Tribolium castaneum: one gene and its partner. The protein of the gene in region 2 purifies or fractionates together with the protein of the main gene of each other region. This does not show direct contact. Links are inferred from orthologs where the notes say so. Each region holds a gene or a part of one and is shown on either strand. Other genes may lie near its edges.

Region 1 (5,120 bases), on a different chromosome or scaffold from region 2:
AGCGATGGCGACTAGAGTGTAGTGGAGCCAGTATTTGATGGCGGTTCCGATGGAGGAGAGGAGACCGGCGGCGAGGTCTCGCACAGGGAGGCGGCGTGGCATGTCGGGGGAGTAGATGGGAGTGAAGGAGAAACGATAACTGCACAATTCGCAGTATTCTTTGCGCGAGTAACGCATCCATTGCATGAGGCATTCCTGATGGATCCACTTTATGCTGCCCGTGCAGATGCAGGGGTGGAACAGGGGGCGGTCGGGCAAGCCTTCCGAACGGCACACCCGGCAGATGTCGGTGTTGGACAGTTCCGAGTCCATCATTACGCTGAAAAGACACAGTAAAAAAAAAAAGACAGTAACTCAAATATCAAAAAACATTCCTAAAAAATCAGAGGGGAGCTGTATTTTCTCCAAATATATTTGGTTAATATTTTAACTATACTAGATCAAAATTTGTACTAAACAGAAAGTTTTGGAAGTGGCCATGAAAAAGTTTGTGCAAAAACCAGAGTTTCCCGCTAATGCTCTCTCCACTAGATTCTCCCTCTATGCAAGTCCATTATTTTTCCCTTCTTTTTTTGGGAGCATTTCTGATGTAAATAAGTTTAAATCTGGCAACTCTTTTTTTTGACCTGCTATCAGGCACGAGCCACCCCATAATATGAAAAAAAAGAACAAACAAAACAGAAGCATAAATTACAAAAGATGAAGTTTTTTTCCGTTCCTGAAAAGTTAATAACAATTTAATAAAGCATAAAGCTGAAACTAGACCCCTCAAATGAGACAGAATGTTTTTACAGACTTAAATTATTGAATTTCTCGAAAAAACTGAGTTGTGTATCTCTTAACCTTGACCGTTCCTTGCGATTTTCTCATTCCCATGATTGTGATGCAATCGAACTGAATCAATTTTTAATTAGTCCGACCCTGTCCTTGGTCGATTTCTTTATCGTCCAATTCCGGAATAAACTGAATATTTGCATTATCTACGTTCGAAACGCGACGACACCCATGAGAACAATTGAATTGAAAACAAAACAAACCTCCCACTTTGTACTTTGTCGTTATTCATTTGTTTTTCGGCAAAACAAATCGATTTTTTGCGTTCACAAATCAACTGATTTTATCTCAAGGTTACTTTTGCAATTAGAATAATAAAAAACGTTTGTTGTTAGTTAATTATGCCCAAAAACTGATAAAAAACGCATTATCTGTAGTGTGACAGACACAAGGGATTTATTTTTAACATAAAAATCTGGGAATTGTTCCAATGATTCACTTGGCCGTATCAAAGTTCCCCCAATCGTAAACACGGATTTTTCAAGTATATTGAGCCCCCATTGATGCAGTTATGTAAATTAGCAATTAGCAGGCCATGTGTTGGGGGCAGAGACCTCGAATGGCCCACATTTTCAATCCACCGATAAACGAAATTATTATCAAGGGATTACAACTCACACTAATTGATTTTTTTTTGATTAGTTAATAAGAATCAACACAATAAACAAGCTGGGACAAAAAATTACCTGATGTTTTTTGGCACAGGAAACTACTTGAATGTGAAGAACATTATGTAATTTACGGATCCGACTCAAAGATCCATAGTTGCGTGATCACAAATGCTCGAAATTCGACAAAAACTGCAATTTTTTAGGCGTTTTGAGGCTTTTCAGGACGAAAAAATTTATTTTTTGACGTAATACCACAAGACTGACGTTTACTTTCACTCAGGAAGCCAACTGTTGGCTAGTTCGGGAAAAGACCAACCTGACAAAACCACCAGTCACTAACACAAATAATGAGTTGTGCGGGGTTTTACCCTGATATTTTGACTTAAAACAACCCAGTTTCGTATCAGTAAAGATCACAAATCGCGTAATATCAATTGTGGGGCTTGGTTTGTGAATTACACTTAATTTCGTGTTACGTAACCTTAGCCACAAGAAACCTAACCTTAAAGTCTACAAAAAATGTCAACAAAGCGCTGATTTGGCGCCAAGTTTTTTGTATTGTGTTTTAGTGCAGTTTTTAGTGTGTTATCGAAGCAAAACATGATTTAGGAACAATGAAAGATTCAACTCCAATAAAGACCGGTAAAAAATCAAAGAAAAACAAGCACACCAATGAAGAAACCCCCGAAACTTCCCCAAATGGGGCTAAAATCAACGCGTTTCAATTTATGATGAATCGAAGACATCGGAGCATTGGGGGGAATTCCCCTGGGCGTGAACCTGACGCAAACGACTCGGAAACAGCCTCGGATAAAAGTGTCTTAAAGGAGAGGAAAAGTCGGTTTGAGAGCTGGGCGGAGGCCAAGGGGGCTGCCAAACGTAAACGAGAGTACGAGGAAGTCGGCAATTGCATCAGTTACAAGCTGGAGAAACGGGGAAAACGATTGAAAAAGTTGCTAAATATTGATTGTCAAAGTGACGATGAGGTGGTCACTAAAAGGAAGAAGCGGAAAACTGTTGTAATTGAAAGTGACAGTGAGAACGAGGCACCAAAAACACCAACTGCCAACAAAAAGTGGAAATTTAAGATCAAGTTGGCCGTGGATGACAGGAGTGATGTTGAAAATTCGTCTGTCAACAGTCAACGAAATGTTGAAAATGCCCAAGGAAGTGTTGAAAATGCCCAAAAAAGTGTTGACAATGCCCCAAAAAGTGTTGACAATGCCCCAAAAAGTGTTGAAAATGCCCAAGGAAGTGTTGAAAATGCTCAAGGAAGTGTTGAAAATGCCCAAGGAAGTGTTGAAAATGCTCAAAAGAGTGTTGAAAATGCCCAAGGAAGTGTTGCAGACGTGGTGATAGTTGAAAATGCCCCTGTCAATACGCAGTCTAGTGACAGTGGCATTGACGTCATCGAACTCGACGTGGACCCAGCCAACTCTGTTTCCGACGAAAATGCCTCACGCAGAGTTTTACGATCCCGAAAACCGAAAAAATACGATGATTTTCTTCAACTTTCTGATTCGGACGATGAGAAGAAGAAGAAGACAAAAGTGGCACCAGTTTTCTTAAAAGCTGTTCCAAAACCAAAATTAGATCCGGAAGCAATGGAAGCAAGAAGACAGTTTTTGATGAGTGGTGTTCCGTCTTCTTTGAAAAAAGAGATGGAAAAGGTGCGAATTTTTAGTACTGAAGAATCGGATTTTGATATTTTCCCGTCGTTAAGTCACGTCCAGCAAAAATCCGACAATATTTTCTGGGATTTACCCAAAGTTGATTTAAAGCTGGCAAACGTGGAGGAAAAAATGCAATTTATTTCTCCACTTGTCGAAAATTTAATAACTAGAAGTGATGGTGAAAATAAAATTGTCAACGAGTCTGTGCAAAAAATAACAAATTTAAAAAAAATCATCAAGGAGATAAAATTACAAAATCCAAATTATCCGGTTTATAAGATATTTAATTCATTGTTTGAGAAAAGTGGTCAAATAATTGAAACCGTGAATGACGTAACACCGAAACGCCGCGGTCGCAAAAAGAAAAAATCTTTGGAAAAACCACCAGAAATTACATCGCGGGAACACACGATGTGGACCGAGAAATACCGAGCAACTTCCTCTCTCGACATCATCGGGAACCACAAAGTTGTGTCATCTTTGAAAGACTGGCTTTCCCATTGGTCGCTCAGTGAACACAAAAGACGGGGCAGCGAATCAGATTTCGAAATTACCGACAGCGACAGTCGCGACAGTGCCACTTTTGGCAACACTGTCATTTTGCGGGGACCCCCCGGAAGCGGCAAAACCTCGTCCATTTACGCCATTTGCACCGAACTCGGTTACAACATACTTGAAGTTAACGCTTCGAGCAAACGCACCGGTTTGTATTTGTATTTTTAGGCTGGTATCTCTGATTCTAACCCGGCCTTTGATAGGTAAACGCCTCCTTCAGGAGTTACAAGAAGCCACCCAGTCGCATCAAGTCAAGAAAAAACAAAACACGAGCAAATGCGTCCTATTGGTCGAAGACATTGACATTGTCTTTGACCAAGACGAGGGTTTCAGTGCTGCCCTCTCGCAGATAATGTCAACAAGCAAGCGGCCAATTGTTTTAACAATGACCGACGAGCCATCTGCCGGCATCCAAAGAATCATAAACGACTGTCGAGTGTTTCAATTCGCGCCTTTGACGCCAATTTTGACAGTTTGGTTGCAAATTTTGTGCCTAATTGAGGGTTATTTTGTCAAAATCGAGGCACTTGCCGAGTTGTTGGCGTTCAATAAAGGCGACATCAGGCGGACTTTGCTGCAATTACAACTGTGGGTCAAGTCGGGTGGCCACCCTGATGGCAATCATGGTGGTAGCACTGGTGGTGCCACTAGTGTGTCAATTGACATTGACGATGATTCAAACTTGCCCGATTTTGGCACAGAGTGCGCTAGTGACACAATCCAGACACATTCGAATTGTGTGCCAATTTTTAATTGGTTACACAATTTTGAGTTGCTTTGGTGGAACTTTCCCCGCATTTTAAAAATGCCCGATTTTTCCAAACATCGGTTAAATCGCCACATTTGTGATTTCCCGGCCGGGAAAACCGAAAAAAACAAATTGCAAGCGCTGGCCAATTGTTACGATTCGTTGGCGTTTGCTGACGTCATGTGTCAAAAAAACCGGTTTGAGGAAAGTCTCGAACGGTCTTGGCGGACCAAAGAAAAGGATAGTTTGACTCTTGAGGAGAATTTTTCTCTTCCAGATTATAGTGATTTTAGCAATGATTTAGCGCAATTTTTATTAAGTGGCCAAGTGAATAATTTTGAGGATTCGAAGGTTGATTTTGATGTTACACTGCCGGTTCCAGAGGAACGAAGGTGGCTGTGTTACTCGTCAATCGTCCATTTGTGATTAATTTGATTGCAGGTGGCGCTCGAAACAAATCGGGTGCGAGCTGAGATTACAGAAAGCTGTATTACCGGCCGATTGTTTACACCGGAAGGACGTAGCTTTGGATTATATGCCGGCTTTGAGGAGCATAGCACGGTCCGAATTTGAGAGAGCGGCAAATAGTACGAAGAGGGGGAACCGCTTTTATAGCTACTTGAAGGGTTTAGGGGTGCATGGCAGTGACGTCACGTATAAGTCGGCCTGTGATGTTTTTAAAATTTGGGATTGATTTTT
Region 2 (4,340 bases):
ATTCAGTTTCACAAGAACGGTTCTCTCTTTTTGATAATATTGTTAGTAGTTTTTATTTCTGTTACAATTTTCGGATTATAATAAAATTGTTACTTAGCATAATTTTTGTGTTCCTTCCGTAATTTCACTAGTTCTCATTTTTGTAATATACTTCCTCTGTATTACGTATGTTTTCACAAAAAATCAATCATAACATTTTTATTATCAGTAAGTAGATTAGCACCTGTAACTTTTTTAAAAAGGTAAGCCATTTAGAAAATAAAAGTTGGCAGAATTATGTCCCATCCGTAATCAATAATCATGGAATGGGTGAATTTGGATTAAATTAAATGTCCAGTTAGTTAATTTTCTGTTTTTTTTTAACTAAATAAAGCCATGAGCGCATTTTAAAATACTTTATTTCCTACAGTTCAAGTAAAACTGCTGTAAAACAGTAAGGAAAATGGCTGAAATTTGACGCTTTCTAGCCCCTTTAATCAGTGTTGAACGTATTTTTTAGGCAACCCATTTTTGATACATTCCTTTGATAAAAAATAAATTTCATCGGGTAAGCAGATGAGTGAAGTACGATTCTAATTCGTATCCTTCACTCTAGGTTGAGTATGATGTGGACGAAGAGGACACCACTTGGTTGTCTTTAATGAACGAAAAACGCGAAGCTGCGGGCCTTAACCCCGTCTCGGTGGACTCCCTTGAACTCCTGATGGACCGCTTGGAGAAAGAGTCCTATTTTCAGGTATAACCGCCCCCTCAATTTAAAATCCCTAACCCCAACTTGTATTGTTTTAAAGGTCTATCACGTAAATGGTCAGGTTTGCACTTTGCGAAAAATTCACAAATTCCGTGTTTTATTTCGAGCTGTTTTCAGGCTTCGGTAAACGGTCACACGGGGGCTGTGGTGGACGACGATGCCGTCTGTTGCATTTGCATGGACGGGGAATGCCAAAACACTAATGTTATTTTATTTTGCGACATGTGTAACCTTGCCGTCCATCAGGACTGCTACGGAGTGCCCTATATCCCAGAAGGCCAGTGGCTGTGCCGGAGGTACATATTTAATTTTTTCTACAAATGCAGTTTTACAATTATTGCCAATTTCAGGTGTCTTCAGTCGCCCAGTCGGGCCGTTGATTGCGTCCTGTGCCCCAATCAAGGGGGCGCTTTCAAGCAAACGGACAGGGGGCACTGGGCACATGTCGTTTGTGCCCTGTGGATCCCCGAGGTCCGGTTTGCTAATACCGTTTTTCTCGAACCTATCGGTATATCACGGACGGTGTTACCAACAAGAGAAAAATTTATTCGTTTTTTTAGATTCCATAGAAACCATTCCAGCAGCAAGGTGGAAGCTGACGTGTTACGTGTGCAAACAGAGGGGCGTAGGGGCGTGTATACAGTGTCACAAGACCAATTGCTATTCGGCGTTTCATGTCACGTGTGCACAACAGGCGGGGCTTTACATGAAAATGGACACCGTTAAAGATACGGGGGATTCACAGCCGGTTCTTGTGCAGAAAATCGCCTACTGTGATGTGCATGCGCCCGCGGAGAGCAGTACGTTTCGGGGAAACCCTGTCTTTTACCTTCTTTTTTTTAAATTCATGAGGAAAAACGAAAACCAAATGCTACCAGATTTTAACATTTTTTTTAAATATCTCTATATCCAGTTTAGGTATAAAACCCAAATTTTGGCTAAGTCTACAAGTAATCAAATGCCACACGTTGGTCAAATTTCAGACATTTTTGCGCCACTCTATATAAAATATACAGGTGTGTACTACGAGTTTGTGCCAGATATAACGAAAAAAGAAGAAAAATTTTTATTTTCTTGTCAGAATTTTTATAAAAAAAAACAACTCCTTTTAAACAAGGACAAAAAGTATGTTGGTTCGATTTTATGATGATTTTTTCAATTTCTCTCGATTTTCGGTACCGGGAACATTTATCGAGCAATAACTCCGGAGGTATTAGATGTAAGCCTATGAAGTTTATTATCGTTGGAAAGCTCTTTTAATTATCTATCTTCAAAAAAAAGATCATTGCTTTCCGACTAATACTTTTCGAAAAAATTGCAAACAAATGTAAAAATCGGTAATAATAAAAAAAAATTATAATGAAAAAAGTATTGGAAATTTGGCGATTTTCTCGACGCCAGTCGATTCCTCGGATAATTTTACATAGGTTTGCATCAAAATAGTTACACTTTTTTGAATAGTTTTGTCGTAATTGAGAAAATAAAAAAATTGTTAACACATCAAAATGGACAATTTGAAAAGTGTTTCAAGATTAAAACAATTAAAAGTCATTCTTTCTGATTAATTTTGTGCTATTTACGATGGAATAAAGCTTTTTTCCTGACTTAGTTTCGCCGTAATCAGCGTTTGAAAATTGCAAAAAAAATTTTGAGATATCGCCTTAAAAACTGTGCTATTTGGTAAAGCTTTGGAAATCATTTTTTTCATTTTCCGCTAATTCTGTAGTTTCGCCTAAATCGGCGTTTGAAAATTGTAAAAAAATTGAGAAAGAAAGTGTAAAACACAACTTTTTTTGCGTTTTTCTTGGAAACTATAACACTCAGGGCAAAAATGAAAAAAGGATTAGATGGCGGTTAAAATTTTCTATTTTTTTGTCAAAACCCGGAGCCCCGGGCAACGGTTTCGAATACAGAGGCATTTTAATTTTTTTCACTGAAAAAATTGATAGCTTGAAAACTAAAAGTTGTAAACCAAAAAATAATTCTATTGAATACTACGTATTGTACCAGCATTTTTACAACACTAGCTTACTCGGGAATTTATTTAGAAGCTTATGTATAACTTGAAAACTATTTTGATTTATGAATTTTGCAGTTTGCTCAACATAAATTGATTTCCCGTATTATTTTACGTAAATTGAGAAAATAATAAAATTAAAAAATTTGGAAAAATTCGTCAGTAGTTCCAAGTGATGATAAATTTTGACATTTAGATCGTTCTTTGTTAAATATTTCCGAAACGGGTGTATCTTTAAAACCCATCTTTTGCCCACGTTATTAACTATTACACATGTTGGTCAAAATCGGTGGTGAAATTTTGCGCCCCCCTGTATAAAATATACCGGGCCCTTTCTATAAGTTTTTTTACCAGGTGAGGCGAAAAAAGAAGACGCCCGCCAGAAAATGAAGAAAGCTCGCAAAATGCTTGCGAAAAAACGAACATCGGCTCCGGTCATCCTCATCCCCACCATTCCCCCGGACCGCATCCAAGAAATCGGTGCCTTGGTAACAATTACGAAAAAATCGCAATTTATCCAACGTTTGATCGCTTATTGGACGTTAAAACGCCAATTTCGAAACGGTGTGCCCCTTTTGAGGCGCCTCCAGAGTGCCCAAGGGGGCCCTCGAGACTCCAATACCAGCAACGTTGACACTATTGAGTTGTGTCGGCAGCTGAAGTATTGGCAGTGTTTGAGACAGGACTTAGAACGTGCCCGATTACTGTGCGAATTGGTCCGAAAACGCGAAAAAATCAAACTCGAATCGATCAAAATCTCCGAAAAGTGTCTCAAAATCCAGTTGAAACCACTGGAGGCGAGTTTGCGCCTCGTCCTTGACCTGGTGGCCGCCAAGGACACCAATGAGATATTTAGCGAACCGGTGGACCTTGAGGAGGTTCCAGACTACACCACTGTGGTATCCGAACCCATGGACTTGAGTACCATGAGGAAAAAGCTAGACGATGGTCTGTACCCTGATTTAACTTCGATGGAGAAAGACTTCGATTTAATGATCGCCAATTGTCTCGCTTACAACAATCGCGATACAGTTTTCTACCGGGCGGCCATCAAAATGCGCGATCAGTGTGGCGCCATCTTCCGGCAAGCGCGCAAAGAGCTGGAAACTTGCGGTTTGTTGAACGAAGCGAGTGGCGAAACTCCGGCGTCGGGGAATGAGGAGGCGCTTGCCTCGGATATCGACAAGGAATTGGAGGGTTTGCAAGGGAAGGTGGGGCCAGACGTGATCACGAAACTTGAGGAGTTATTGGTCAAAAGCCAGGCCCTCAAGCACGGATTGGCCCGAGCGAAGCGAGTCAAAGTAGTGCGCAGCGAATTAAACAAGGCTAGGAAGAATCTAGCCAATACGGACAGCTCCCAGTCGGATGGCGAGAACGAAGGGGGCGGGGACTCCAAAAACAGCTCCCAGAGCTCAGGCGTGTCACCTAGTGGTGTCAACCGGCGAACTGCCGTTCTTTTCACGCGCAAAGCGCAGGCGGCTTTGAAAAAACCGGCTGAAGAGAAGGAGGACAAGGGGACTCCGCCCCCCGAAGCCCCCAAGCCGTAAGTAAAGCCAACTATTTGTTTTAAGG

The links. The genes of interacting proteins can lie anywhere in the genome.
Region 1: the proteins of Br140 (region 2) and elg1 purify together in Drosophila melanogaster (affinity purification with mass spectrometry; 3 studies listed by BioGRID, with this or other methods). This does not show direct contact. The link is inferred for Tribolium castaneum from reciprocal best matches to the Drosophila melanogaster genes Br140 and elg1.

Annotation. Positions count from the first base shown.
Region 1 is NC_087399.1:3,031,214-3,036,333, forward strand, and holds the start of elg1 (ATPase family AAA domain-containing protein 5), read left to right. Parts: upstream 1-1,769; 5' UTR 1,770-2,059; coding exon 2,060-3,821; intron 3,822-3,876; coding exon 3,877-4,813; intron 4,814-4,862; coding exon 4,863-5,115; 3' UTR 5,116-5,120. Other genes in the region: E3 ubiquitin-protein ligase MARCHF6, read right to left, coding at 1-315. UniProt on the Drosophila melanogaster protein: Has an important role in DNA replication and in maintaining genome integrity during replication stress. Promotes PCNA deubiquitination.
Region 2 is NC_087401.1:11,380,600-11,384,939, reverse strand, and holds part of Br140 (peregrin), read left to right. Parts: intron 1-595; coding exon 596-736; intron 737-791; coding exon 792-812; intron 813-868; coding exon 869-1,047; intron 1,048-1,101; coding exon 1,102-1,259; intron 1,260-1,311; coding exon 1,312-1,551; intron 1,552-3,122; coding exon 3,123-4,311; intron 4,312-4,328; exon of another isoform or gene 4,329-4,340. UniProt on the Drosophila melanogaster protein: Scaffold subunit of the histone acetyltransferase (HAT) Enok complex which has histone H3 acetyltransferase activity.